2 linked regions of the Elephas maximus indicus genome follow. The protein of the gene in region 1 interacts with the protein of each later gene in a biochemical or structural test. Links are inferred from orthologs where the notes say so. Each region holds a gene or a part of one and is shown in the gene's direction. Other genes may lie near its edges. The genes, in order: DCN and TGFB1.

Region 1 (15,779 bases):
CTCAACCAAAAAGCTATTGAAGAAAAATTATCTCTGTTGAAGGAAATTACAAACTCAAGGTCTTCTTTGCTTCCAACAATTCGGGCATTGTACATTATCCTATTCAATCGCATCTTATAGTTGGCCTGAACTTTCACCTTCACATGGATGTTTTTCTTTGTTTGAAGAGAAAGTATAGCATTGCCGAAGAAGTCTGCTTTGCAGGCTTATAGTACCAGGTCCTACTTCGTGCAGGACTAGTTAACTAACAGGCAAATCACCAGAAGCACTGGCCAAGAAGGTTGTCTTCCAGGTGGTGCCTGGCTTTTGTCTTTCTCTTTTGTAGTTTTCATTCACTTCCAATACGTACAGCTTCCAAGCTGGTCTTATCTGTAAACTGTCAACATTTCTGCAGTCAATCACTGTGGGAAGCCTTCATTCAACACATGTGAGAATTCAGCCAATCCGGGAAAGAGTCCATATTAAACCTTCTTTCTTTCATTCCTTAATTCAGATGGCGTGATTTCTCCATTATTCCTCACTCTAGGTTCACTATCAAGACTAAACGTTTTTTAATACCCTAGAACTTGAACTCACATAAAATGATAAGTTCTTACGATTTTTGCATGTATGAAAAGCTTCAGTTAATGTAATCATTTCTATAGGTTGCTCGTTCCCACGTAAAGAAGGTTCTCCTTGGAGATGAAGATGGAAACAAAACAGGAGCTCCAACAGTCAGGTCTTTCCCTGTCACTGCTCATGTGACAGAAGCAGCTGGTGGGAGTGGGGAAGAAAAGTGTCTGGAGACCATGGCTGCCTTGCTCATTAGCTCTGATTTTAAAGCAGTTTTTTCAATGTCCTTTCTGCTCAGTTTCTGCCTCAAAGAAGCGATTATGATAGTGTCCAACTGATAGAGTTATTATGAGCCTTAGCTGAGATAATGAATGCAAAGTACATACCACAATACCTAGCACGGAATAAGCGCTCCAAACATTTCCTACTGACATATCACAGCAGCTTCCCAAGTAGTAGCTCTATTTTTGCCTTGTTTACCTTCTTGTTGCTAAAATATTAGCACGCCAAGACTAGCAGTAACCTACTACTTGGTTTCCTTGACTCTAGTTTCACTGCCTTGCACATACTTGCCGGATTTGACTTACCAAAACAGAGTTTTAACCGTGTTATTCTCTCATCAAAGAGCTTCAATAACATCCAGCTTCTAGCACAGTGATTGGCACATTTTAAGTACTAAATACGCATTTGCTGAGAAAATGAAAGAATAAGAGCTTTTTGGAAGACTTTCACCCTTTTTCAGTCAGACTCTATCTCATTTCTCTCATCTCTCTTTAGTTATTTTCACAAACATTGAGTATTTATTGAATGACTTCAGTAGGTCACACGCCATTGCAGTCATTAGATACACAAGGATGATGAAGATACAGACTCACTTGAAGGATTTGGCAGCTTCTTTGAAACAAAGCCCTCCAGTGAAGCACATTAATTTAATTATTGTCTCCTGATATCCCACAGCTGAGTTTTTACTAGTGCCATTCTACCCGCCTAGATAGCCTCCTCTCTTCACACCATGCACGTTCCTTTTATCCCTTAGGATTCAGCTCAAATTCTACCTGTTCTCCATAAATGCTTACGTAATCACCCATGTGTAAAGTGATCTCTTCCCCATTGCTCCTCTAAATTGCTAAAACAATTATATTCTCTAGATCATACTTCCCTTTTTGGCCAGGGATTACATAATGCATTGTGTATTATAAGCTTTCTGGTATTTATTAAAACATATATACATAAATATTATAACATGTAATATAGTATTTTATATATATAATATTATATATGTGTATATGTGTGTACATTCTTAATTTGCTTATGCTTTATCTCCTTACTCTAGCGTAAGTACTTTGAGTTTATGTGCTTTGTACTTTGTGCTTTTTTGTATCTTCCACAAAACCTGACATTATGCTTTTCCCATAATAATTTCTCAGTCAATATTTACTAATTCATTTATTGATTACTGGCAATTTGCTTGTATTTAATAGAGAGGTTTGTGCCTTGCATACCCTAATAGATATTCAACAAAAGTTAGCTTATTGTCTAAGTATAAACTGACTGATCAATAGAATAGAAAGAATAATAAATCCTCTGACTGCCAATGACAAAGGAGATGCTGCTGAGGATGCTTGAGTCAGGGAATTAAGGCATTAAAAATCTTGCAGTGAAAGAGAGCTACAGCTCCCCGCACCTGTTCTCTCTCATTTCATTACTCATCCTGTCCCTGTCGTTATCTCACCTCTGCTTTCATCTTCAGAGCGGAGATTTTTATTTTGGGGTCACTGGATCCTTAAAAAGTCCATGAATAGATTTCAGGGTGACTTGGAATCCAGTTAAATTTTATGCATAAAAAAGAACAGACATTGTTTAATGAGTGCAATGTGAGATCTAAAACTCAAGCTTATCTCCCTGCAACATCTTGCTCTTCCACCTACACCGTGGTTTAGGTGATTTCCTGGACTGCTAGAAAACACCTTCGGCTAGAAAAAGAATGTAGTCTGGTTATTGAACTGCAGTATCCAAGGGGAGGTTTGGTAGCAACCACCACCACAGCAGCAGCAGAAGGCACAACGAGCACTTATCTACTGTTGGCGATGTGTCAGGCATGCTTCTACATATTAACGTTTGTTAAACCTCACACCTTAATACTATGGAGCAGGTAGTGCTGCTGTTGTGCTCATTCTATAAATTAAAAACAAACAAACAAACAAACAAACAAAACTGAGGGGAGGAGAGTTTAAATCACTTGTGCCAGGTCATGAAGCTCCCGAGTAGTAAGTCAGGTTTTGAAACCAGGCAGCCAGTCTCCAGAATCTGTATAAATTTGTGCTAATGGCATTTTCCTACTTGTTTATAGTAGATTCCAAGACAGATCCCCATTACAGTCAGATAGCTCTTTTTTTTTTTTTTTTTTTAAACTCTAAGGCCAATACTGAGCTTCCGTACTGTGCTGCTATTCCACAGATATTAGAAAGAAGGTGAAAGAAAATGTTACAGTCTTGAGGCTTGAGATGCCAAGGGAGAACTCTAATAATTTCTGTATCAAATGGTTGCAATGGAATAACAGAGACTCATTGACCCTGCCATTTTACCATACCTCCACCTTGCCCAACATATTTCGATGACATCTATATTTCCATTTAAAATCTTATTTAAAATTAAAAAAAAAAAAATTCTGAGTTCGGAAAAACTTGCGAGAGCACTGGTAGTTCCGTTTTTACATGGCCCTGCTTCTACCCTCTGTAAATATCCCTAGGAAGAGATTTCATTAGGTGACTGATGACTTTGGATGCTTTTAACTGCCATTGACAGCAAGCTCTTCCACAAACTGACTTAAACCAGAAGTTGGCAAACTACCATCCATTGGCTAAATAATTAAGCCTAACACAACTTTTCATAAATAAAATGTTATAGGAATACCACCATGCCCATTTATGTATGTTTTGTCTATGACTCTTTCCATGAGACAATGGCAGAGTTGAGTAATTGCTAAGAGACCTTATGACTTTCAGAGCCTAAAATATTTACTATTCAACTCTTTACAGGAAAAAAAAGAAAATTGTTGAACTCTAAACTTTTGAAAAATATCTCATCTCATGTAATGTGAAGCCCAGTAGGGGCTCTTTGTTGTCGTTGTTAGGTGCCGTTGAGTCAGTTCAAACTCATAGCAGCCTATGTACAACATAATAAAATACTGCCTGATCCTGCACCAACCTTACAATCATTGCTATGTTTGAGCCCATTGTTGCAGCCACTGTATCAATCCATGTTGTACTTTACCAAGCAGGATGTCCTTCTCCAAGGAATGGTCCTTCCTGATAACATGTCCAAAGTACATAAGTTGAAGTCTCCCCATCCTCACTCTAAGGAGCTTTCAGGTTGTACTTCAGCCTGACACTTTTTTTTTTTTTTTTGAGTTGCTAAATTGGCTCTGGAGTTCCAGGGCCAATTTAGCAACTAAAAAAATACCATCTCATTTTTCCTCTATTCTCAGTGGGTGAACCTTTCTCTCAGGTCTGTGACTCCTCATTATTACTCATTAGTTGCAGAAGTTCCAGACATCACATCGAGTTATAAAAATATCTAGAGGGAAAAAAAGGAGCCATCTCTTCTTTATATCACACCTTAATGAAGCATCATCAGCTGACTCCCTCTCATGACACCAGTGATCAGAATTGAGTGACATGCCCTTCCTAAAGTAATTCTTGAAAGGAAACAGGGTAAAGATAATTGGCTAGGCCAATTGTTCAAAGTGGAATGTATGTTGGGTGGTCAATCATCTTGACCAGTACTGTCTTCTATATTCTTCTCTCAGTCGACATATTCAGTCTCTTAAAGTATGATATTTCATCATATTTATTAAGACCTGAGTGATTAAAATTCAAAATAGTGCATTTTTACATTAAATTTGGAAGAGATTTTCAGTTGGACTGTACCCATCAGAGTGGTTGGGTAACAACAACAAAAACAACCACACTGTGTCAGGCGTGGTTTTGAGGTAGATGTGCAGAGCAGAGGGCCAATACAAGAACGCTGAACACAGTGGTGATGGCCTGGGGTAGGCAGAGGCATGTGGGAAGAAAGAATATTATTGCCAAGATAGAAAAAATTTTACTACCAAATTGTATTTCAGGCCATCCTGCAATCAAAGTTGCCCTGAATTCCACACTACTCTTCTTTTGTGGCTATGGAAGAAATCTGTTTATGGCAGCGAAATACAGAGCCAGACAATCCATTCCAGCCTCTGACCTGAATATGAAGAGTCAATCTAAGAATAAACCAGTCACATCAGGTTTGTAAAGATAACCAATGCATCCAGACCTCTTAGAAAATAAAAGGGTGTCAGAAGGAGACCTTTCTAAGCTCTGGCATTCTTCGTATCTTTAATATGCAGGTACAATTTAAATCACTTGTCTTTGATGATGATGAGAAAGAGTGAATACCCCTGAAATAAATTTTGACAAGATGTAGAATAGAGTTACCCCGTTAGCTAGTGGGTTGTCAGTAGAAATCACAGTTTAAGTGGTTTTAACAGCAGATGTGGTATGTGCTTTGAATCTGAATATTTCAAATATCTATATGGCTGCCAAGGTTTCAGTGAACCCTAACCAAACATTCCAGACCAGGATGAGCTTAGGCAATCTCTGCATAAGCACTGATTCTACCCTCAAAATTGCCCCATTTCATGTTAGATTGCAAGAGACCTAGAGTCTGTGATAGTGCCATGACCTCTTTGTGACTTATCTGAATATGACTTTGTTATGACTTAGTTTCTTCCATCTAAAAATAGGTGTGCCAATATATGTAACTTAACATCTGATTAAAGGTAAAAATTTTAAGATCATGTTTGTGAAGATGCTTGGAATTTTAGAAATGAGGTGAAACAAAAAGGAATCTCTAGAAATAAAAAGGAATATTTATTTTTGTTCCTGCACAAATGTAAAAATTCTAAAAAGGATTGTCACTTGGTCACAGTTTTTTAAAAAAGAAGGGTCTGTTGATCTATTATGAAAATCAGCCATCGAAAACCCTTTGGAATACAATTCTACTCTGATACACTTGGGGTCACCATGAGCCGAAGCGGATGAGACAGCAACAGGTTGGTTGGTTAAAAAGGATTGTCGCTTGGTCACAATTTTTAAAATAGTCTGCAAAGACATGTTACCCTAAATTTTTATGATTAATTCTCTTTATACTAAGACTTTGATCTTCCTTAAAACACAGTATAGTAATGGAAGGATCACTGAATTCGTTGTGAGACAACCTGAGTATTAGTTGCTGCTTTGCTTTTTACCAGCTCTGTGAACTTGGGCAGGTCATTGGGGTTAATTTTTCTCACCTGTGAAATGGAAAGAGTAAATAGTATTTCCCTTGCCCAACCTCAATTCCCTTGTCCAAATTTTAATTGCTACAAAATATGTCAGGGAAAAAATAAAAGCGTATAAAAAGCTTAATTTCGAAGGGCGGTGCTAGGAGTTAAGTGCTTCATATACTGTCTCTCTACCCCAGCACTAGAAAACCAAAAACTAAACCCATTGCCATCAAGCAGATTCCGAATCACACAACCATATAGGACAGAGTAGAACTGCCCCGTAGTGTTTCCCAGGAGTGACTGAGTGGATTTGAACTGTCAACCTTTCGGTTAGCAGCCATAGCTCTTAACCACTATGCCACCAGGGCTCAACAATATAAAGTAGGTACTAATTTTTACCCATTTTACAGATAAGAAAACTGAAACTCAGAGAGGTTAAGTAAGTTGCCTGAGTTATTGCATGTACTATGGGGGAGGAGGGAAATCAGGATGTAAACCTTAATCAAAATGATTCTTTTTTTTAAAAGTAAAATGATATCCGTATCAAAACTAACATGTCTTTTCTCCCCTTCTACGCCTTCTTTAATTCCCCTCTGCCTCCTGTCTTTTTTTCAGATAATAATCATTGCCTTAATTTATCATATATACTTTTAGAGCTGGATTTTAATAAGAAACAATTCAGGGGCTGAGCAAAACAATAATCATGATATGGTCCACAGCCAATGCTTTGACTACTTTTGTCTACTCATTCATTAGACGTTTATTGAGAATGGGCTATACACCATGCACTACGCTGAGTGAGGAGCTCTGGTGGCGCTGTGGGTAAGAGCTCAGCTGCCAACCCAAAGGTGGGCAGTTTGAATCCATCAGCCACTCCTTAGAAATCCTATGGAGCAGTTCTTCTCTGTTCTATAGGGTCACTGGTACGAGTCTGAACGGACTCGAGGGCAATGGGATGCGAGTGAAGGGATTCTACCAATATGAATACAATGTACTTCCTGCCTTGGCGTGAGGCATGTACATAAATAATTATAATATGAAGTAGGATTGCACGTCATAAAAGAAGAGATAAATGCTATGCAATGGGAGTTCAGAGGAGAACATTAATGAATTTCAGGTGAGAGGATCATGGACTTGCACCAATACCCAGGGAAAACAGTGTTTTCATTTTTGGAAACCACCGGAATAACTGGGTATCTGGTCATTAAATGTCAAGGAGAAGGGAAAAAAGGTGAGGTGTTAAAATTGGGAAGGATGGGCTTGGGAAATCAAGGGGACTAATTTGTTCAGCTCCTGAGTGCTGGGAAGTATGAGTTTACTCAGGAATAGAGAAAGAAGGCAAAATATAATTTGGTAACACCTCCCGCCCTCCTTTAAATACCCACTCAAGGATTTAATTCCTTCGAGTTTCATCAAGGCAGAAGATTTTTTACTGTAAAAGTGTAGACTTAGGTGGTGACAGGAGAGGAAGGAGAGAGGGTGAAGGATCAGAGAGAAGGTAACCTCTCATGTTTCACACATGTTGATTTCAAGTTTCCACCTGGTAACAGCCTAGGGGCCAGAGCATAAAAGATACAAGTCAAAACACAGAGACTTACACAGAGAGAACTAACAGCATCCAGCAAGGGAATTACAAAAACACAAAAAAGCTTTCCAGTGGCTAAATAAATATCTTTCCTTTTATTTGTACTGTTTTTTTTTTTTTTTTCTTTCCCCTTTACTGAAATTTGGAAACGGCCATAGAATCTACTGCTTTTTCAAAGTTCTAGATTACATAAAAGAATAGTCTATTAAAATCAAATGTTTCAAATACGGGCTAAATTTAATTGTGACCAATTTCTAGTTATCTGTGTGTTTTCTTAAAAAAAACAAAAACGAAAACAAACAAAAACTGGTGGCAACAAAAGAGATTTTAAACTATGAGTAATGAAAATAATATGTGAGGTGTGTTTTATATAAAACCATGGCTTTGTTCCAGAACTCTTTAGAAATATGTTAAAAATATATGGAAAAACTCGAATTTGCGCAAAAATGCCAAAGCAAGTGAGAATCCGAAAGAGTATTTTCACATAAGGCTACTCATTTATTTTTGCAGACCACATTTAAAATAACTACAAGATCAATTTCATTCCATTTGCTGGACGTCTACATGCTGGAAGAAAGATTATTTGTTATTTGGAAAGTATGATAAATGTGACTTAGGAACAAGGCTAGAAAGAGTGGAGAGTGGAGTGAATTGGGGGTGGGGAAACAAACCCTTTCCTGACAATATTTTTAGGGAAATGAATCAACAAAATAGGACAAATTTCAAGGCAAGTTGCTCTGCAGCACTACATAAGCTTTTTAGAATCTTAAACAGATGCAAAAGGAATAAAGCAAAAGGGAGAGGGAAAAAAGGCCGATAAAGTTTCTGGCTTCAATACAGGAGACATATCATTACCATATGATCTAATGTGGGTGTCAGCCGGATTGTGTTCATTGAGGGAAACCTTATTTTTTAACTGTGCTATGGAGTAGAAGCAGGAGGTTTTCAACCTAGTGACAGTCACAGAGCAGCACCTAACCCCCTCCTCCTTACCACACCTGCAAACTCTTTTCCTTGGGCTGAATATTTAGTGTAATTACATCTCAGCTTTGAGGGCTCCTGTGGCAAATCCCCGGATTAAAAGGTATGGTTTTCAATAATTGTCCTGAACTCTGCTACAGACTAATAAAACTGCGGTCAAGTTGAGAGCAAAAAGAATTATTTGGTGAGAAAAAAGAAAAAAAAATGTACTAAACTTTTGATAATCTTTAGGCAGCATTTCAAGAAAAAGTATTGCTTGAAAACTAGTTAATTACTTGGTAAAATGATTGAATGCGTTGTTTTAATTTTTTTTTCTTTTCTCTTCTTGCAAGGGTGTTTATTAAAAAACCTAACACCATAACTCTCTACATTGATATATTCTGTATTTGTACTAATGAAATGTTTAGCTATTGAGAAGGTGTTAACAGAATAGCCTTCTAGGCTAGCATGCTATTTGTAGTAAAATTATTTATCTACTGATATCTTTCCTTCCTGAGTTCTTGTATGCTTTGAGATCGTTTAAAACAGCCGAGAAGTGAATTCTGGTGATTAGCTATATAGGTCCAATGTGTATTTCTGCATCCCAAGAAAACAATAGAAATTATCATCAGGGAAGTAAAAATAAATACTGAAAATATGTATGCTGGATATTAAAGATCTACCTAAACTCTTCTCATGGTTAGCAGCATAATTCCTTAACCGTAAGGAAAAGCAACCATGTTGATATTTTCAATTCAAATGAAATTTTATTATAAGATACATTCACGATGAAATGAGGAAGTGGGTTATTTTTCTTTCTAATTTCAAGGCAGGGTTACAGGGTGACCAGTCAGTAAGTGGGCTCCCAGTGATGTAAATACCTGTGGCTTTTTCTTCCTCTTGCTGTTTTGATCAGAAAAAAGAGCCAAATGCCCCTATAGCAGTCCCTATGTATGGGTAAATGCTGCTTTTATTCCTAATATTTTCATTTTTTCTGTTATTTTTTAGATTTCTAATACATCCTGTGAAGGGGGATTGTAACTTTTCTTTGCAATTATAGCTTTATTTTGTCTCCTGAGGGTTAAATTTTGACTTTGAAATTCACACCAAAAGCATATGACATCGTATAAATAGTGAGCTCAATGATACAGTTAATTTAAAGGGCCGAAGTACTTTAAAAAAAAAAATTTTTTTTTGAAAGTACTTTAGGAGCTAGAAATTAATCTATTTGATAAAAATTATTAAACTGTGGCAACTAATTTTAGAAGTGTAGCAACATTATACTAGCAATTAGCATTTGGAAAGAGTCATACATTTTGAGAACGTTTAAAGCCATTTCAGTAAAACTTGGAAAAAGTATATATTTCAAAATTAGCTGCCTTGCTTTTTACATGAACAGCTGCTGTGGGCTGGTAATTTTTCTGACATATTAAGGAAAGAAAGAAAGGATTCAAGAAATTATTATTATGCGAAGCACACATTAATTGCTTTAAGATTCTGAGATTTCACGACACTAATTGCAAAGAAGTTATTTCATGAAGGAATTTATATAAAGTTTCTAGACAAGCTACTTTTCTTTTTCTTCCCCAGGGCATTAGAGTTAAAATGCACACACGCACACACACACACACACACAGAGTAAATGAAGGTGGTATATAATAAGTTAATTGAAGCTACTAACTCTTTGCATTCAGCGTCAATCAAAAAGCATATTGTGCAGAGAATCTGCAATATTTTAATAAGAGTAAACAAATATAAATGATAATATTCCTCTGAGCTAATACTTAAAGTTTCTTTTTTGAGGGGGGAGGGAGGTGGTGGGGGAGTTGTTACAGAGACAACCAGGCATTTCCTGCTCTGGAGAAAAGATCAAAAAGCGACATCTGTATTAATTCTTGTTGCTATTTATTAAATCTGCAACTGCTTGCTATTTATTAAATCTGCAATTGCTTTGCTTCATTTTTCTTCTAAAATTGTTTAGGACATTAAACATGCAAGGCCCGAAAACTTGTGGTAAACCATAAACATTGCATTTTAATATGAAACAGACAGAAAATCACTCCCTTAGATCCAACCTAAGTAAACCCTGCCAGGCCAAAACAATAGGCTCGCCTCTTAAAGGGCAATGTAATCACTGGGTGGGGGAAGGGGCTCCTACAGCAAACTTGATGCTGAATTTAAAATGCTAGTGTGAACCATGATCTGTATGGCGCTTTATAAATGAAAAGCCATCAATGCATATTACGTATGCGCTGCCTTAGACAGAGTTTGGTAATAAATATAAACTAAGAACAAAAATGTAAGAAAATTGAAAAATATTTATTCCATCTGTAGTGGATCTAGGCAAAACTTTCCAGAAGACACATTAAGGTTAGGGCATACAAGTTTGTTTGTTTGTTTGTTTTGGCATATATTTTGATTGGATGATGACCTGAAACAACGTATTTAATTATAGTTACAAATGTGCAGTTTTAGTGTAGATCATGCAAGTATACAGTCCAAAATAGAGAGAATCAGGCTAAAGGCAAGTCTTGTCTACAATATGCTTTGGGAACACTTGGAACAGTTTGAATAGAATTTAAAAATATATCGTCTTAAAAATAAGCCACCTCTTCTTTACATGACCAACTCAGTTTTGTTATTCAGATTTATTAAGAAAATAAAACGTTCGCTTCAGCTAATGAAATCAACTCAACAACAAAGAATTATAGATCATAAGTGCTTGTTGAATGAAGTAATACATATTATGTGGATCCATGGAAACTTAACTTTTAGTGATTTTGTTTTGTTTTTGTTTTCTTTATACAAAATAGCCCAGTTGGTAAAGCCTGATAAGTCATATAAAAGTCAATTAGGATTTCCCCATGTATGTTTATCTCTTTATTTCAAAAGATCAGTTTGGGAAACCAACCAATAGATTCACTTTAAAAAGTGACTTTTGCTTTATATCAGGTTGAGGTTTCCAATTCAATAACTTTCCTGTACCAGGAATTAGATTTTGAAAAAAGGACAATTTTATTTTGTTTTGGGGGGGAAAAAAAAAAAAGGAATTGGTTGGTTGCTTGGAACAAATTGAATAAATTGTATTGTTAATAATTTGATAGTCAATTGAGTTATGTGCAAAATATTATGTAAGGTCCGGATACAGAACAAAAAAATAATAAGACACGCCCTGGATGAGTACATTGCCTAGTGGGGGAATAGACCAAGCACGCAAAACAAATTACAATATAATGTGATAAGTTCTTTAAAAGAGGTAAGAGCAACGTGCTTTGGGAGCTCAGAAGAAGGAGAAAGCAACCTCTTCCCCTGGATATACGGGGAAATACAGAAGGGAAGCCCATTATCTTACTTGCTTTTTACAACACTGTTACAAGGTAGGTAATTTGATGGCTATTAGTTTTGAATGTCAGGATACAGGTGGAGACTGGGAGTGGTAAGAAAATGGAGGGAAACGTGGCTAGAAATATACATTGGCAACGAACTGTGAATGATCTTATAAGTAACACTATGGACTTACTAGCAAGCCATGGGAAGTCAACCAATGGTTTTCAGTAGAAGATTAAACAAAAAACCAAACCAAATCAAGTCGATTCCGACTGATAGTGGCCCTATAGGACAGAACAGGACTGCCCCATAGAATTTCCAAGGAGTGCCTGGTGGATTCGAACTGCCAACCTTTTGGTTAGCAGCCATAGCACTTAACCACTACACCACCAGAGTTTCCGGTAGAAGATCGGTAAGATGAAATTTATTTTTTGAAAGGCCATTCCTGCAACAGAGTGGAAGGTGGCATGGAAAAGAGGGAATGTTCAAGACAGAGATTAGTTGGAAGCTTTTGCAATAGCTCAGGGAGTGATGAGAAGGGCCTGCATCAAGATAATTATAGTGGGTTGGAGAGATGAGATAGGAGCCCTGGTGGTACAGTGGTTAGCACTTGGCTGCTAACCAAAAGGTCAGCCACTGGAACCCACCAGCCTCTCCTGGGAGAAAGATGTGGCAGTCTGCTTCTGTGAAGATTTATAGCCTTGGAAACCCTATGGGGCAGCTCTACTTCGTCCTATAGGGTCACTTGGAGTTACAATCAGCAGTGGGCTTGGTTTTTCATTTTTGGAGAGTTGAGATTGGCTTCCAGAGATATTTCTTGAAGCAGAAATTTGAGATCTCTCATGTGTATGAACAAAACATTATTTCACTGTGGCATGGCTCATGTTGAATGAGCATTGGAAAGTCCACCATGATATACTATCATGACAATTTTGCAAATGATGTAAAAATATAGTGTATCATTTTAATTCAGACCCACGATGAAAGCAAGTAGATCTGAATAACATATTTAAATAAATGTTGCTTCTTAAGTAAATAGCTGCCAATTAAGTCTATAATGTACCTTATCACCTTTCAAATATATTTTAAATGCTCTGTTTCCTAATAACAAATGAAAATGTGATTTTTGTTTTTTTTAAATATTTTTCTCTATGCTCACTCTACCATGGGGCAGGTAACACTACTCTTCCTAAACCTTTCATTTCTTTTCTAGGTTCCCTAGTTGTGAAAATAGATGAGATAAATCATGAAGGCAACTATCGTCTTTCTCCTGCTTGCACAAGTTTCCTGGGCAGGACCCTTTCAACAGAGAGGCTTATTTGACTTTATGCTAGAAGATGAAGCTTCTGGGATAGGCCCAGACGAGAGCTTTCCTGAGCTTCCTGAACTGGAGCCCCTGGGGCCAGTGTGCCCCTTCCGCTGCCAATGCCATCTTCGAGTTGTCCAGTGTTCTGATTTGGGTGAGTGGGCCAGAGGCTGTTTACCGACCTTGTTTGTTTCATTCTTGCAAAAGGGTACTCTTAAGAGTTTAGCCTTTTCAGTTTGAATCTCTGCAATTCAAATGCAAAAGACAGTGCCACCTAATGAGAAGTAATGGAAACAGAGAGGGTAGAAACTCAAGTAGCTTTGAAGTTAGGAGACTTTTTTTCTTTTTTGAGTCAGGGCTCCAACACTTCGCAATCTTGGACAAATCACTTTTTATTTTTCTGGGCTTCATAGCTCCCCGTCTATAAAATAAAATGTTGAATGACACAATGTATTATGTTCTATGATTCCAGGATGATAGCTTATTTTATTTCTATGATTTCCGTTCACGAAACAGTAGGTATTAACAAAACCTGAACAGTCTCTCTACTCTTGACTTAGCCTAGATAACAGAGCTTAGTCTGACCATGACTAAATTGTAAAGTATGCAGTTATCAGAAGCAAATGAGTAAAATTTTACAACAGAAACTTATCTCTGGAGTACCAAAATACGCCCTTAATCTCTGGGTCTTAGTTTCGCCTTTTACCATTGGCATTTTGTAATCCAGCTGTTTACATTTTTCAGGAAATTTCAAAGGAAATCTTTATAATAAGGCATCATTTAAATATTCATTACCATCACCGAGCATGTATCTATGTGTCCTGAGCTTAACATCCCAAATTCAGTTTGATTTATCACCGTTTAGAAGAATTTGGCCTGGGAATTCCAAGGGCAATACACTCAGAAGATAAATCTTCAGAAATTTGAAGCCCCAGTGGATGGGCCAAGAGGAGATGAACTTAGTTTACATGGCAGCTGATCCACATTCCTGTTTTTTTTTTTTCTTCCCCCCCCCCTTTTTTTTTTTTGGTTCATTTGTTTACTGGAAAGAAAGAAAGGAAAAACAAACCCTCACAGTGTGATTCTGCCACTATGTATCTCTTTAATGAAACAGTCTCGTAAGATAGTAGGGCACTTGTTCCCGAAGACCTAGGTTTACTCAGAACATGCTTTCTAGCAGTATTTTGCAGAAAAAAATTGCAAAAATTGCCAATAACTTCTGCAGTTGGAGTAATAAACACAGATGACTCAGAACAACTAACTTAAAAACATGTTAAGTAGCAAGAACTGAAAAACAAAAGCTTGAGATAGTTTCTTCAATGCCAGTGTATATCATAGAGACTTTGAAACCTAAATAAAATGTCATAAAGGTTTTCAAAAGGTGATGGAATCATTTCAATGGATTCATTCATTCATTCAGCAAATATTTTGAGAGCCCACAATGGGTTTGACTCTGTTCTATGCCATGGGGAGGAAAGGATGAGAGAGTCAAATATGGTCTCCATTCTTGTGGTGAAAATTTTGTCAGTGGTCACCACTTGGGAAGTATTGTGTTGCAGCTTGTTGCTTGCCTGTAGAAACTGGTTTTCCAGAAGCAAACTTTATACATGAGATAAATGAAACATTAGACTTCTTCCATGAAATCAGCCTAGCAGAAGAAGTCAGGGCTATTTTGTAGGGAAGCAGACAGAATGCTAGAAGCTCAGTTGCCTTCATTGTTTATGTCTGGCTCTGCAGCAGCAAGGGTGTGGGGTGATCCTCACTGGGAATTTCAGATATATCAAAAAACGTGTCTGCAAGACATGATACAGAAAGGAGGTTGGGCCTAGAGAAAGCCCCAGTGGGTTGCCTAAATTAGCATTTGTTAGGGGTAGGACATGGCAGGTCCTAAGATGAAGAGAGACTGACACTCAATGTGACCCATATATCCAAGGGCCTGACTCAAGGGGTTAAAGATGGGGAGAAGGAACAGAGGAGTCAGAGAAGGCCAAAGGAAGCATCTGTCTTCTTGACCTGACTGGGAATTGACATATCCCTGCTTTCCTTCTGGGTCCCAGGAGGGAGAGAGAGCCAGCTGTTTGGGATCAAGGCATTTTTTGTGTTAGGCTACAGCTGTGATGCATTTTCTTTTGGAAAATCATCCCTGGCTCCAGGGGACTGGATGGAAATAGGTTAGTTAGAATACCCACTCCCTGGGTAAGAGAGGAACAGGGACCTTCTAATCTTAATTTCTCTCCTTCGAAAGAGCAGCAAGGAGATTTTATGGTTTTTTGAAAATAAGGGTAAAGAAGAATTACACAAGTTTGCAAATCCAGGCTTAATGAAAGAAAAAAAAAAAAAAAGTCTTGTAGCAACTAAACTGTAACACTCAAGATTCAAAGAACCCTTGACTTAGTTTGCAGATCGCTTTCAGGAAAAATCTGCAGTTTGTCTACTTCTGTGCTTTCACTCTAATCTGCATTTGTCTTGATTATTCTGTTTATCGAACATCGTTTAATTACCTATTTATACACCTGCCTTTTCTTCTAAAAGGGAGAGGTGGGGATAATTTATCTTTGTAGATCCTCTGCCCAACACAGTGCCTTAGACTTGGTAGACTTTCAAGCGTCAATAGATGAATGAATGAATGAACATATGCATAGCTTGGTGCTCGGGTGAGTGAATAATTCTACAATATTCTTGATTCTACCAAGCTGGAAATGGGAGAGAACATGGCTGAGTGGGAATTAAAACTCATGGAGCTG
Region 2 (15,440 bases), on another chromosome or scaffold:
GAAGGATTATTTCCAATTATGAGACGGGAGGATGCACACAGTGTAAGGGGAGGGACTTCCCCATGGCCTTGGGTCGTCTCTGATTTGTGGTCTTTATGGATTTGTTTGTTTTATAAAGAGGGTCTGGGAGAAAGAGTTGGCGCTCAAAGAAACCCAGCCACACTCAAGATGGTAGCTGCTCGGCCACGCCCCCAATGGCGGAACCTCACGCTGGCGGAGAAGCGCTGCTTTCCCGAACGGGAGCTAAAAAAAAAAACAGGCGGAGAAAACGTCCGTCACAGGCCCGCCCCGCCCCCGAGAACAGCTAGGGCCAATTAGCGGCGCGCAGGACGGGAGCTAGGCCAGGGGTGGAGGCTGCTGTTGCCGTAGCAACAACTAGGGATCCCGGAGGCGGGCACGGCCGTGGAGAGATCGGCCTCTACAGATTTCTCGCTGCCGGGAAGGTCCTGGGAGAGGCGGGAGCCAGGCCTGGGAAGTCGGCGCCCGCGGAGAGAGGGACAGGTCAGACTCAGGAATTACGATACCCTGTGCTGCTTTCGTCGCTATGGGTCGGCATCGACTGGACGGCAGTGGGTTTGGCTTTATGGTTTTTAACCGTTAGGGGTGTTAAAGTCGCAATAAGGCATGCGTTGTCTTGAGGGGGCGCGGCTAAGGCACTTACGACGCATGCGCATCATGGAGCTTCGGGCCGGGCTGACGCTAGGAGGCGGGGCTCTTGCCCTTGTGTGCGGAGCCAGAGACCCCTGGGCGGGACTTTTCGGTGGACTGATACCAAACCAAACGAAACCACTTGCGTTAGGGTAGTTTCCGACTCTTAGGTACCCTCTAGGACAGAGTAGAGCTGCCCCATAGGGTTTCCAAGAAGCGACTAGTAGATTCAAACTGCCAATCTTTTGGTTAGCAGCCGAGCTCTTAGCACCAGGGCTCCGTGGGCTGAGCCAAAAAAACCAAGCCCATTGCAGTTGAGTCCATTCCGACTCATAGCGACCCTATAGCCCGGAGTAGAACTGCCCCACAGGGTTTCCAAGAAGCGCCTGGTGGATTGGAACTGCCGACCTTTTGGTTAGAAGCCGAGCTCTTAACCAATGCCCAGCAGGGTTTCCGTGGACTGAGCCAGAGGTACCCAAAACAAAATCAAACCTGTAGCTGTGGACACATTCCGACTCACAGAGACCCTATAGGACAGAGTAGAACTGCCCCGCCCCGTAGTGTTTCCAAAGCTGTCATCTTTACGGAAGGAGATGCCACGTCTTTCTCCCGTGGTGTGGCTGGTGGGTTCAAACCCCGACCTTTCAGTTAGCAGCTGAGCTCTTAACCACTGTGCCGCCAGGGCTCCTTGAGGTGGAGGTATCTTGGGGTGGGGCAGAGTTAGACGCCAGCTATTGCACCCAGCAGTCCTGTTTTTCCCGGGTTCTCCTGGGAAGACAGGGTAGTGGTTAAGAGCACAGCCTCAGGGGTTTGACGAACCTATCTTGGAATCCTGATGCTGCCATTTACTCTGTGGGTCTTAGTTTCCCTACCTATCAGATGGAGCAAATAATATCTCACAGGGCTGTGATTATACTTTTCCTTTCCCAGGGCGATGGCTGAGGTGCACGTAATTGGACAAATCATGGGGGCCACCGGTTTCTCAGAAAGTAGCCTCTTCTGCAAGTGGGGCATCCACACAGGTATTCCTGGGCCTGGTTTGTTCCCCCCCCCCCCCCCCGCCAAGTCCCTGTGCCCAGAGGCTCCGTGCTCTCTACTTGCCCCCTGACCCAGGTTCTGATCCTTACCTTCCGTCCGCCGTCAGAAATCAGCTGTCCACAGGAGCCTTAGGCTCACTTCATATTCTGCCGTGGGGGCTCTGGCTCCCACCCTAATGAACACGCAGCTTCTAAGCATATGGGACTATAGGCTAGGACCCCTCTCCTGCCAATTCTCAAAACTCTAGGTAGCCCAGACCCCCCCCCCCCCGCCCCGCTTTGGACTTCACTAACTGTCTTAGGGATGCTCTGGGACTCTCCACAGTCTTAATAATAATTCTTTGGTTAACAGTCTCTGTGTATTGAGTTCGTACTGTATAGTGGAAGTTTCTGTGCCCGATTTACAAAGGCAGCCCATTCTCTGGTATTCACAGTCCTCTTTGAGAAGGTAGGAACTGGCAGCCATCCATATCCTTTCATGCAGGTTTAGAGGGGTACCCCCAAAGCCCCCAGTTTTCATGCCTCCCCATCTGAGGCAGTATGCATAGTGGTTAGGACCACAGGCCACCAAATCTGGGTTCGAAGACTAACTCCACCTATTAATTGGAGGCCTTTGGGCCTGAACTCTCTGAGTATCTGTTTCCTTGTCTGAAAATGTGACTAAATAGCAGCTGAGAGGCAGCACAGTGTCAAGATTAAGAGCACAACCGCCTGGGCACAAAACCAGCTGTTGCACTTCTCTTTGCTTTGATTTCTGTACCTGAACAATGGGAATAATTTTACCTCATGGGATTGTTGGGAGGACTAACTTTATATCAGCAGCACTTAGAGCAGGGTCCAGTGGGTAGTAAGTGTTCAGTAAGTGTTTGTCTGGCTCTTGTAAGACTTCGATGGGGTCTCGTTTGTAAAGCCTGGTGTGTGTTGCCTGGCCCATGAAATAGGTATGGCTTTTGCTGTCAGCATCCCTTCAGGCTCTGGGTCATTTGTGATTTCACTGGTAGGCGGGGTGGTGATTCAGATTCCCTGGGGAATTGATATCCTCCAGCTGAGTGGTTAAGGGGCAGGTTCTAGAGTCAGACTGGGTTTCCAGTCTGGGCCCTACCACTCAACTGCCCTGGGACCCTGGGCAGGTGCTGTCACCTCAGTTTCCTCATCTATGTGTTGTTAGGTTCTGTCGAGTCAGTTCCAACTCATAGCGACCCTTTGTATAACAGAATGAAACACTGCCCACCTCTGCACCATCGTCACAATCATTGCCATGCTCGAGCCCATTGTTGCAGCCACTGTGTGAAACCATCTATATCCCTGCTGCCATCATGTCGATTCCGACTCATAGCAACCCTATAGGGCAGAGTAGAACTGCCCCAGAGAGTTTCCAAGGAGCGCCTGGCAGATTCGAACTGCTGACCTTTTTGGTTAGCAGCCGTAGCACTTAACCACTATGCCACCAGGGTTTCCACCATCCATCCTTCATAGGGTTTTTTGGAAATCTTGTATGTGAAGAGCCTGGCTCAGGGCCTGATGCTTCATTCTCTCAGTCTTGTGGGAAAGTGGCTAACATGGTTTTTATTAGTTCAGGGAGGGAGTTGTAGGGGCACGGGGATTGGTCCAGCAGAGAGCTCAGAGGTAGTCTGATTGGGCTCCGCAGTCAAACAGTCAGTGCTGAGCTTGAATCCAGCTCTGCTGTGGGGTCTCGGTCTGACCCAAGTGCCTGGCACACAGTAGGCACTCAGTGAATCTTGGTGGAATGAATGACCAAGTGATTTTCTTTGGCAGAGCTTATTCTTTTACTTCTTAGATCACTCATTTGTCTGACAAGTATTTACTGAGTGCCTTCTGTATACCAAGCATTGGGTTTGAGGTTCTGGAGATACAGCAGTGCACAAGTGCCCTGCTTTCCTGAGGCTCCCAGTAGGGGACACAGAAAATAAATAAGCAGACAGGTGAGCACAGTGATTTTAGTTAGTGGTTGGTGCCAGGAAGAAAAGAGACAGGAGGAGGTGATGGGGACTAATTTTTGGATCGGAGTGTCAGGGCAAGCCCCTCTGTGGATGGATGAAAAAGAGCCACCCACAGGGAGCTCCAGGAGCAGAGCTTTCTAGGCAGAGGGAATGGCAAGTGCAAAGGCCCTGAGTTGGGAATGAGCTCGGCCAACACTGGGGAACAGAAATGGGACCAGTGAGGCTGTGGGGGTGAGGAAGGGGGAGAGTGATGGAGATGAGGGCAGGAAGGTGGGCACGCAGGCCATGCAGAGCCTTAGGCACCGGGTGAGTGTCTGAGCTGGGGGGGTTGGGCTGGGCAGGGTGGGATTAAGAGTGCTAGAGTCAGATTACATTCATTACCTAAAGGGATCAGCACAGCATCTGGCATGTAGTAAGCACTCAGAGCATTTTGCTGTTACTATGCACCCTTCACGGCACACCCAGCTGTGGAGAATACTCTTGGCCTCATCTTAGTCCTTGATCTAGGCTTCTAAATATGGAGTGGGAGTAGTAATAAAATGATATTTTATCCAGCACTCACTATGCCCTAGGCACTGTTTTAAGTGCTTTGTATGTATTAGCTTAATCTCAAAAACTATGAGGAACACATTATTTTTACACTCATTTTACAGATGGGAAGACAGAGGCATAGAAATGTAACTTACCAAAGGTCACAAAGGCAGGAAGAGGTAGTGCCAGGATTTGAACCCAGGCATTTGACTCCAGAGTCTGTGTTTTATAACCCCTGCCCCCAAATGTTAGGGAGAAACGGGGTCCTACAGCCACAGTGGCATCACCCCACTGCCGCATCTCAGTGTCCTGGCTCTCCCCACAGGGGCTGCATGGAAGCTACTGTCAGGCGTGCGGGAGGGCCAAACGCAGGTGGACACCCCCCAAGTGGGGGACATGGCCTACTGGTCCCACCCCATCGACTTGCACTTTGCCACTAAAGGCCTTCAAGGTAGGTTCCAGGCATGGGCCCTGGGCCAGGCTGAGGGGAGGGGGGCTGATAGCACCCTAGCTGCTGGGATGAGAATATCAAGTCTCTGCCCTCTGCCCTTATACCTTTTTCGGTCCCTTTCCCAGCCCAGCCTGGCCCCGGAGAGGCTGAGCTGAAGCATCCCAGGTGGGCTGTAAGGGAATCCCAAGTATGAGGGGCTGGGGCGGAGGCCCGGGGTGGAAGGGGAGGTGGGAAGGTAGGGACCAGGGTGGGAAGGGAGATGGCCTCTAAGTAAAGACAGAGGGAGACAGTCTGCAATAGGGAGCAATCTGGGATGGGGTTTATGAGGGAGAGAGAGACACAGAGGTGAGGGCTTGCTGCTGCTTTTCAGGGAGGGCCCCTTAGCTTGAGAGCAGAGGCTCAGGGGGAGATGAGTGCAGGGGAGGAGGGGTATCAGAAAGCACTTTCTGGGAGAGAGTTTGGGGTATTGCAGAGGAGCAGATTCCAGGCTTGGGAAATAACCAAAAACCAAACCCACTGCCATCCAGGTGATTCCGACTCATGGCGACCCTATAGGACACAGTAGAACTGCCCCATAGGGTTTCCAAGGCTGTAAATCTTTATGGTAGCAGACTGCCACATCTTTCTCCTGCGGAGCAGCTAGTGAGTTTGAACCACTGACCTGTTGGTAAGCAGCTGAGCGCTTTAACCACTGTGCCATCAGGGCTCCCTATATTAGATGATGCCAGGAAGATACCAGTGACTGAGATACCCACAGCCCTGTTCTCAGGGGCCCTACCATCCAGTGGAGGAGACAGACCTGTCCCCACACAGTGACAGCCCAAGTGGACAGGGCTGGGGTGGGGGGCCCCTGGGGCCTGGGAACCGAGAAGAGGTTCCTGACCCTGTCGGGGAGATCAGGGAGGACTTCCTGGAGGAGGGGACATTTGAGCTTTGATGTGAAGGGCTAGTAGGAGCTAGTGAGGCAAAGGACTGGAAGAGAGTTCCTAAGCAGAGGGGCATCTGAAGGACTGAGGGAGGGAGACTAGGAGGGCAGCAGGGAGTGAGGTGGTAGGGGACAGGCCATGCAGGGCCTTGAACACCAGGCTGAGGACCTGAGGCCATTTGAAGGCACTGGGGTGCCAGGGCAGGCGATGGACAAACTGTATTTTGCTTTTAAAAGATCTTCTGGCTGCCAAGTAAGCAATGAATTGGGAGGATGAGACAGGCAATTCTGTCCCCCAACGTTGGTCCCCTCCCTGGTTCACCCCCGGCTCCACCCCAGTCTGTTCCCCACAGGTAGCCAGCGGGACCCCGTGAACATCCAAATCAGATCACGTTCCTGCTCTGTCAGAGCCCTCCCTCCCCTGGTCCCCGTGCCACTCAGGGTAAAAGCCAAAGCCTTCCTATGTTGTCTTAGTTCTCTAGTGCTGCTAGAACAGAAATACCACAAGTGGGTGGCTTTAACACACAAATTTATTTTCTCACAGTTTAAGAAGCTAGAAGTCCAAATTCAAGGTGCCAACTCCAGGGGAAGGCTTTCTCTCTCTGTTGGCTCTGGGGGAATGTCCTTGTTTCTTCAGCTCATTTCCTGGTTCCAGAGAGATCTCCACATGGCTTCGCATCTCTCTTCCCCATCCCTGCTTGTTCTGCTTGCTCCTTTAATCTCTGTTATATTTCAGAAGAGATTGACTCAAGATACACCGTACACTAAACATGCCTCATTAACATAACAAAGACAAATGAGATTATAACCACAGGCATAGAGGCTAGGATTTACAACACATAGTTTTTGGGGGGACACACTTCATAAAACAGGGATTACAGGTCCCTGCACCATCTGGCTCTCACCCACTGCCCCTCTCTCCCCGGCACACTCCAGTCCAGCCCCACTGGCCCTACCAGGCACCCTCCAGCCTCAGGGCCTTTGCCTTAGCTATTCCTGCTGCTGGCCATGCTCTTCCACTAGATGTCCACATGGCCCCCTCGAAGCCTTTGCTAAAATGTCACCTCATTGAAGCCTTTCTGGACCACCCCTTTGTAAAACTGTATCCCCACCCCTACCCTACCCTGCTTAATTTTTCTCCAGAGCAGTTATCACCATCTGACATAGCCTGTAATTTACTTATTTACTATGTTTGCTGTCTAGGATGTCAGCTACTCAAGGGCAGGAATTTCTGTCTGCCTTACTCATGCTGGATCCCCAGCTCCTAGAACGGGGCCTGGCACAGAGGACGGGTTCTGAAGGGAGGGTGGGCCAGGGCCAGATCTCCAAGGGCCTCGGCCACCAGCCTGAGGAGCTGAGCAGTATTCTGAGGAAACCTATGGAAGGGGGAGAAAAGATGCTCGCGGTCACCAGGGGAAAGGGGGTTGGAGAAGACAAGACAGAAGGCCAGTCAGGGAGGAGTGCAGGGCGGGACCCCAGGGAGGGGAGGGGGAGGCATCCAGACAAGGCCCAAGGTGCTCATCTGAGGACTGGGGAAGCAGTGGGGCCACCCTGAGACGGGGACACGGAGGAGGAGGCCTCAGGGATGTCACAGAGGCCAGATCTGAAGGGTCTTGAGTGTCGAGGAAGTTAGACTTTATGCTGAGGATATTGGGGAGCCATGGAAGGGTTTTGAGCAGAGGAGGAACATGGATTTAGAGAGATCCCTCTGGCTGCTGTGTGGGGGTGGAGCAGGAGGTGGAAAACCAAGGAAGAGGCCTGGGAAGAACCAGGGGTGTGAAGGGAGGAGCAGGCTGGGGTCTCCATTGGGTATCAAGGGAAGGGGATTGAGGAGCAGGAGGCTGGACCATGAATATGCCAGGCGGGGCCTTGCCCATCCCCCCCTTTCCTTGCTCCCTCCGGTCCTACAGGCTGGCCCCGGCTCCATCTCCAGGTGTGGTCCCAGGACAGCTTTGGCCGCTGCCAGCTTGCTGGCTATGGCTTTTGCCACGTGCCCAGCAGCCCGGGCACCCACCAACTGGACTGCCCCACGTGGCGGCCCCTGGGCAGCTGGCGGGAGCAGCTGGCACGGGCCTTCGTGGGCGGTGGACCACAGCTGCTGCATGGGGACACCATCTACAGTGGAGCTGATCGCTACCGCCTGCACACGGCCGCCGGTGGCACCGTGCACCTCCAGCTCGGCGTGCTGCTGCGCCACTTCGACCGCTACGGCGTTGAATGCTGAGGGACTCTGCCTGCAACATCTGGCCCCCATCCACACTCTGGACACCTGATGAGGGGCAGGATGGTACAGTGGCCACGAGCATGGGATCTGGGGTCGGCAGGAACTGACTCCAGCCAAGGCATGGTGTGGCTGCTTCAAACCAGTGATTGTGCCTTTTGGCCCCAGTTTTCCCATCTGTAAAATGGGGACTGTGAGGGCGGGGTCATGGGAGCTTGGGAGAAAAGGCTGTGTAGCACATGGGAGGTGCACAATAAAGGAGAGCGATTCTTACAGGTGTATCTGCCTTCTTGACTTCATCTGACCTCTGCCCTGTGCTCCTTCCTTCCACTGACACCCTCCCTCCTCAGGGCCCACCTTTTGACAGGTCTGCTTCCCCCCTCCTCTGCCTCTCCACCTTCAATTCCTTCCTATTCTGGGTGCCTCTTCTTTGACCCCCCTTCCCACCCTGCTGTCTTTTGACCTCTTCTGCAGCCCTATCCTTTGACCCCTTTCCTGGGTACCTCTCCTCTGACCTCTCCTATGCCCCTATCCTCTGATCCCCTCTCCTAGACACCCCTGCTCTGACCTCCAATCCTGCACCCCTACGGTCTGACCCCTCTCGTCCTGGACATCCCTTCTCTGACTCACTCCCGTCCATCTTCTTTCTGACCCCCTCAGCCTCTGTCTCTTTCCCTGCTCTGGGTCACCTCTTTTCTGATCCCCTTTCCCCTGTGTCCCCATCTTTTGACTGAAGCTTCCCCGACAGGTCCTCGTTCTGTGACCCCGCACCCTAGTCGCTGCTTTTGTAGCGCTCGGCCGCCAGGAGGCAGCACCCTGTTCGTGGGGCGGAGCCGGGTGCTCGTCTCCTTCCCCCCAGGGCTGGAGGGACCCCCCTCGGAGCCCGCCCACGCGAGATGAGGATGGTGGCCCGGCCCCCCCATGCCTTCCCCCTGGGGGCCGCTCCCGCCCAGCGCGCTTCCTGGGTGGGGCCGGGGCGGCTTCAAAACTCCCCGCTGCCCCAGCCGGTCTCCGCCGCCGCAGCCTTTCGCTCCCAGGGCCGTACCCCTCCCTCCTCCCGCCGCGGATCCGCCAGACAGCGAGGCCCCCGGCCGGGGGGAGGGGGGACGCCCCCTCCCGGGCACACCCCCGGCTCTGAGCCGCCCGCGGGGCAGCCTCGGCCCGGAGCGGAGGAAGGAGCCGCCGAGGAGCAGCCCGAGGCCCCAGAGTCTGAGACGAGCCGCCGCCGCCCCCGCCGCCGCCGCCGCCACTGCGGGGAGGAGGAGCGGGAGGAGGGACGAGCTGGTTGGGAGAAGAGGAAAAAAAAGTTTTGAGACTTTTCCGCTGCCGCTGGGAGCCGGAGGCGAGGGGACCGCTTGGCGCGGCGCTGTCCCCCAGGAGTCAGGACTTGGGGACTCCGGACCCTCCCCCCGCCTCGGAAGCTCGCTCCCTCTCTGGCCCCCACTCGGCGTCCCCCAGGCGCCCCATTCCGGACCAGCCCTCAGGAGCCGCAAACCCGGACTCACACGAAGACTTTATCACCCCCAGACCTCGGGCGCACCCCCCTGCACGCCACCCTCTATTCCCAGCCTCTCTCCTAAACCCCGGAGCACCCGAGGACTCTTCTCCCCCAGGAGACGAGATCTCTCTCAGAACTGCCTCAGCTTCCCCATTCAAGGCCACCCACCCTCTGGTTTCAGATCTTGCCCATCTCGGTTTTTCACGTAGGATACCGAGGCACCCTCCCCCCGCCCCGTCAGAGCCTCCCTTCCACCCCTGCTCCCTTCTTCCTGAGGGCCTCAACTTTCCCCCCAGACCTTCCTACCTCCCCCTGGGAGACCCCAAGCCCCTGCAGGGGCGGGGCCTCCCCCAACCCCATCCCCGTTCGCGCGCTCGGCAGTGCCGGGGGGCGCCGCCTCCCCCATGCCGCCCTCCGGGCTGCGGCTGCTGCCGCTGCTGCTGCCGCTGCTACGGCTGCTAGTGCTGACGCCGGGCCGGCCGGCCGCGGGGCTGTCCACCTGCAAGACCATCGACATGGAGCTGGTGAAGCGGAAGCGCATCGAGGCCATCCGCGGCCAGATCCTATCCAAACTGCGCCTCGCCAGTCCCCCGAACCAGGGGGAGGTGCCGCCCGGCCCGCTGCCTGAGGCCGTGCTCGCCCTCTACAACAGTACCCGAGACCAAGTGGCCGGGGAGAGCGCCGAGCCGGAGCCCGAACCCGAGGCGGACTACTACGCCAAGGAGGTCACCCGCGTGCTAATGGTGGAAAGCAGTAACAGTGAGCTCCGAGGGGCAGGGGAGCCGGGAGGGGAGCCCCCAGGGGGCGCCGGAGTGCAGGGGTCAAGGGGAGGAAATGGGCCCCTGGGGGCACCGGGATCAAGGGAGGTTCCAAAGAAGGTGGGGCTGAGACCCTCGCAGGTACCAGGTCTTGAAGAGGAGGAGTTAGGGAGCCAAGTAGACTGCTTTCAGGGGGCATCAGGAACATGCGGGATTGTGAGGGGAGTCCCCTGGAGGGACAGAAGCAGTTGAGGTGGGGAAGACTAGACAAGAATGGCGGTTGTGGAGTGGGGGCTGCAGAAAGGAGAGTTCGGTTTGGGAGAAGCGAAGACCCCAGCTTTTGGGAAAGGAGAGGCACGAGGAAGTTGACCCAGAGCTCGGGGGTCGTTAGGTCGTTGGCCAGGAAGGTTAGGAAAGTGGGAGAATGGACCACTTCCAGAGGGCGCGAGGAACACATGGGATTGGGGAGGGGAGGTTCCCAGAGAGAAAAACAGGGAGAATGATAAATACCAGGAGAGAAGGACGCGGGGTCGTGGGGAGGAGGCTAGCCGGAGAGAAGCCGACGCCCCAGGGGGGTGCCGGAGATGTGCGGGAAGGTGTTGTGGGTGCTTCGCATTGGGAGGTGAGAAATAGAGGGTGGAGCCCAGCGGAGGAAGCGACCACCCAAGAAACCTAGCCTACAGGGCATGTGAAGAGGTTTACAGAGAAGGGAGACAGCGTGGGAAAGGTGGATGGAGGGGGGAGGGGAAGTAGTGCGAGCCCCTATATGCCGCGGGGTGGAAGGGAATGGGCTAAATGAGGAGTCTGGCCTTCTGAAAGAAAAAGGAGGGGTGGATGGGGACGACTCTGCAAGCGGGGAGTGAGAACACGGAGCTGGCGGGGTGAGAAAGCCCCACGTGGGCGCCACGCGCGGGGGGAGGAGCCCCGCTTCCGCAAGGGGGAAGGAGGACCCCGCGGAGTTAAAGGCTGGGAGTCAGGACCCCAAAGTCTCAGTTCCTCTCGTGGAGCCTGGGGAAACCCCAGCGTCCGGTCGCCTCACCCTCCCTTCCCGTGCCCCGAGGGCGAGGAGGGGGGGCCGGGGATCGCGCGCGGAGCCTGGGGCGAGACGAGACAGGTCTGGTCCCCGCCCTTGCCGCTGCGTCGTCGCCCGCCCTGCTCACCCCGTTGGGGGTGGAGCGACCGCTGGGCCCGCCCGTCCGCGCCCGCGCTGGGACCCTGGAGTCCCGGCGCCCCGCGTGGCCCAGAGGCTTGGGGGTGATCCCCCGGGGTTCACTTTTTCGCTAGAGCAGTAGACTTGCCGGTCCCCGGGCTGCTTGTGCGCCCAGTTTTCGGGTCCAGCCAAATAACACGCCCCTCATCTGGTTCTCTCTTCCTTTTCCGTCCTTCACCTTCGTTGTAGAGCTTTCACCGATACCCCCCTCCCGCCCCTGTTCTTTCTCTCTAGACTGTCTCTGTCTCTCCCCGAAGCCCGCGTGCCTCCCATCTGCCTGTACGCCTTTCCTATCCCCCCGTCCATCTCTTTTCCTGTCTGTGCCCTTCTTTCTGTCTCTTCAAATCTCCCTCATCCCATTACCATCCCACTCGTCTCTCTGTCCGGGTGTGGGTCTCTGGTTCCTGTCTCTCCTCTCTCTCTTCCTCTCCCCGTGTCTCCGCGGTTTCCCCATCTCTCCCTCCTCCTTGCAGCGCGCTGACCCTGCCTGTCCTTCCTTTCTTTCTCCCTATCTGTCTTGCCCAGCCCCGGCTTTCCCCTTCCCTTGGGGTGTGCTCAGTAACCGCTGGGCCAAGAGTAGGGTTTGTGTATGGGCGCAGGGCAGGGAGTGGTGAGGAATAGGGGGAGGGGGCTACAGGATGGGGTTTCCTCTGTCATTCCCCCTCAGAGCCTGTTTCCACCATCCCTCACCCCCACTATAGGAGACCCAAAGCAGTGGCTTCCAAGTTGATCCAGGAGTTTATGGTCTGCCTTCTCACCCCCACCCTTGAAATTTTCCTAGACTGGAAAATGGCCTTGTTAATTCTCTTCTTCCCCTGCAGCCATTCTTACCTAAGAATGTCATGAACTTCTCTAACCAGCTAAAGAGAGAGTTAAGGGAGGAAGCAATTAATAATAATAATAGTCATTGGCAGGGAGACAGCATAGCCTAGGGGATAAGAGCACCATTTGGGAACCGGAGGGCCTGAGTTTGAATCCCTCCCCTGCAGCTTCCTAGCTATGTGACCTTGGGGCAAATTGCTTCACTTTTGTGCCTCAGTTTCCCCATCTATAAAATGGCTATAATAGTATTTTCTTTGTAAGGTTTAACTATTTTAATGCTTGTAAAGTACTTTGAAAAGCGAGCGCTCTTTAACACACACATTATTGAGTGACTGCTGTATGTATGCAGGCTCTTGTGCTACATGTTTTCCCTGGATTGTCTCATTTATTTTGCACTGTGTTCTGCCATGGGTCCTCATTTTACAGACGAGGGTCTGCAGATCAGAGAGGGGAACTCTTTGGCCCAAGGTTACACAGCGCATCAGTAAGGAGAGTCTGGATTGGAAGGCAGGGAGATTGATGTTACGGTGATTTCCCAAAGAATAACAGGAAACCAAGGCCCAGAGAGGGGCTGTGACACAGTCTGGAGGCAGCAGAGGCATTGTCTGATCGGAATAGAACTGTGCTCCGTTGGGTTTTCAATGTTGATTTTGAGGAAGTAGATGGCCAGGCCTTTCTGCAGTGAACTTGCATTTAAGGCTCCGAGTGCTGGGGAGGCCTAAGCAAGCAGATCAACCCCCCTTGATGGCGGCCTTTGACTGGGTGGTCCATTACAGGTGATGCTTCATGAGAGAGGAGGGTGGTTAGGACCCATTTGACAGAGGGGGAAATTGAGACTCAGAGGGGAGAAACCACTCGCCCAAGGTCACACAGTTAAAAAGTGTTGACATTGAGCTCCAACCCAGGGCTGTCTGCCCTGGAGCCAGGGCAGACTTGGGGTCCACCAGCTCCCCCGCCCCTGCTGAACCGCTGCCATCCTGTCTCCCTGCTCTTCCCATCTAGAAATCTATGACAAACTCAGGCATGGCTCACACAGCATACATATGCTCTTCAACACATCGGAGCTTCGAGAAGCAGTGCCTGAACCCATGTTGCTTTCCCGGGCAGAGCTGCGCCTGCTGAGGCAAAGTTTAAAAGTGGAGCAGCACGTGGAGCTGTACCAGGTGGGAGCACGGGCCAGACAGGTGGGCTGAGCTGGGGTGTTGCTGGTGGCCATGTGGGGCCATAGGAAGGCTGGTGGCCACGAGGTCCATACCCATGAACTCTGAAGTATTCTAATTGTGGAGGATGGAATAGGTCAGACCAGAGCATCGTAGGGCTCTTTGAAACTTTCAGATGTAGATAGCGTCCTAGAATGTTAAACACTCAGACGGTTGGAATCTTAAAAGCTGGACTCTTTAAGAATGCAGGACTCTTGAAAGCTGCAGTCTCTTCAAAGGTTGACACCTCTAGAACTACTCTGTCCAATACGGTGCCCACTAGCCACATATGACTATTTAAGTTAATTAAAATGAAATCAAGTTAAAAACTCCATTTCTCAGTCTCAGTGGCCGTATTCCTAGTGCCTTGCAGTCAAACGCTAAAGCCCCGGTGGCACTGTGGTTATGAGCTACAGCTGCTAACCAAAAAGGTCAGCAGTTGGAATCCACCAGCCATTCTTTGGAAACCCTATAGGGGCAGTTCTGCTCTGCCCTATGGGGTCAGTATGAGTCGGAATCAACTTGACGGCATATTGAACATTAGACCTGCAGCATGAAAGGTGTTACACACTCTTACAGCAAGAGAACCTTGTCCGACCTTAGCTTGTTGGAGACTTGAGAACTCATCTGTATACGCTCAGCCCTAGAGGGTTATATCCCCAGCCCCGGGGACTATTCCATAGCCTTGGCATCCTTGTAGAACCTTAGTCTCCCGGAACTTCTTAGGCTTAGACACTGTGGAATTCCTGGAACAGTATTGAGCCGTGAGCGTTATAGAATGACATCTGACATAAGCCCTTAGAAAGTTATAGACGCAGAATTCGGGTGTCAGAGTTGCTGAACCATACACCTAAGCAGACTCCAGAAAGTTAGCAGCAGAATCTTAGCATCATGGGCTGCCCAAGTTTAAGGTACCAGCATTTACCAGTGAGGAAACTGAGGCCTCAAGAGGGAAAGAAAATGCCACAGCCCCCCAGCGAGGCAGAGGCTGAGCTGCTGGACGTGGTGCCCTGACCCCTGGCCTGGGGCTCTTTCTGCACCTCTCCTCTTAGGGGTGCTGTGGGGGCAAGCGGTTTCTGCAAGACCCCATGATGTGCATGTCTGGTAGGCTGGTGTCTGGGGGCCATTCGGGGGAGCAGATGGTATGGGGGGGCCCAGTCAGTGTATGTAAGGGGCATGGCAGCATCTACCTACTATCTCTCTTTCCCATTTATTATCTCCCAGAAATATAGCAATGATTCCTGGCGCTACCTCAGCAACCGGCTGCTGGCCCCCAGCGACTCATCGGAGTGGCTGTCCTTCGAAGTCACTGGAGTTGTGCGACAGTGGCTGAGCCGTGGAGGTGAGGTCTGCTCACCTGCACCTCCCCCCTTTCTCAATAGGTTGACTGCATTTTTTGTCCTGGGGCCAGCCTGCCTAGCATACCTCCCCATGAGCATGTGTTGGTGTCTAAGAGCTGAGACCTGGCCCTCCCCCTGGAGACTCAAACCTGAGTGACTAATTGATTAATCCGTGAATGGTTTATAGCCCATTTCCTGAGCACCTGTCCTGTACTCTGCCCTGTGCTGGTTGATGCTAGGGACACGGCAGTGACTGAAACAGTTCCTTGGGGAGGCCAGGAACACATCTTTGACTAGGCAGTGATGACCCGGACAGGGCTGCTATGGGGAGCCCAGAGGAGGCACCTGCCCCAGCCTGGGAGTCAGGGAGGACTTCTTGGAAGAGGGGGCATCTGAGCTAATCTCTGGATGAGTAGAATCAGTTGAGCAAAGAAGGGACAAGAGTGTTCTAGACAGAGGAAATAGCCTGTGCAAAGGCCACAAGTTCAGCATCCAGAAGAGACCTGTGTCTGTCCTGTTTGTGGCCCAGTCCACAGGGCCCATGTCTCCCTTCCATACCTCTCTCTCGTTCATGCATTCATTCAATAAAGCAAACAGTTGCCTGCCCTGTGCCCGGTGGTGTAGGGGACACAGTGATAAACAAGACAGCCCCAGGTCCTGCCCCCATGAGGCCAACAGGTACTACTAGACACTTAGGAAGCCTTGCCAGAGTTTCCCAGATGAGAAATGATCAAGGCCAGGACTGGGAAGGCTCAGGGGTCAGGGCCAGGAACAAGGAGGCACAGGCAGAGAGGGCAGGGCAGGGCAGGGGAAGCCCTAAGTGCCGTGGGAGCCCCGAG

Evidence for each region.
Region 2: the proteins of DCN (region 1) and TGFB1 form a complex in vitro, tested with the Homo sapiens proteins (3 studies listed by BioGRID). The link is inferred for Elephas maximus indicus from reciprocal best matches to the Homo sapiens genes DCN and TGFB1.

The regions. Positions count from the first base shown.
Region 1 is NC_064822.1:155,619,106-155,634,884, reverse strand, and holds the start of DCN (decorin), read left to right. Parts: upstream 1-8,161; 5' UTR 8,162-8,526; intron 8,527-11,613; exon of another isoform or gene 11,614-11,779; intron 11,780-12,942; 5' UTR 12,943-12,975; coding exon 12,976-13,189; intron 13,190-15,779. UniProt on the Homo sapiens protein: May affect the rate of fibrils formation.
Region 2 is NC_064829.1:109,831,652-109,847,091, forward strand, and holds the start of TGFB1 (transforming growth factor beta-1 proprotein), read left to right. Parts: upstream 1-9,670; 5' UTR 9,671-9,676; coding exon 9,677-10,031; intron 10,032-13,064; coding exon 13,065-13,225; intron 13,226-14,485; coding exon 14,486-14,603; intron 14,604-15,440. Other genes in the region: B9D2 (B9 domain-containing protein 2), read left to right, coding at 1,583-1,670, 4,503-4,628, 7,464-7,777. UniProt on the Homo sapiens protein: Transforming growth factor beta-1 proprotein: Precursor of the Latency-associated peptide (LAP) and Transforming growth factor beta-1 (TGF-beta-1) chains, which constitute the regulatory and active subunit of TGF-beta-1, respectively.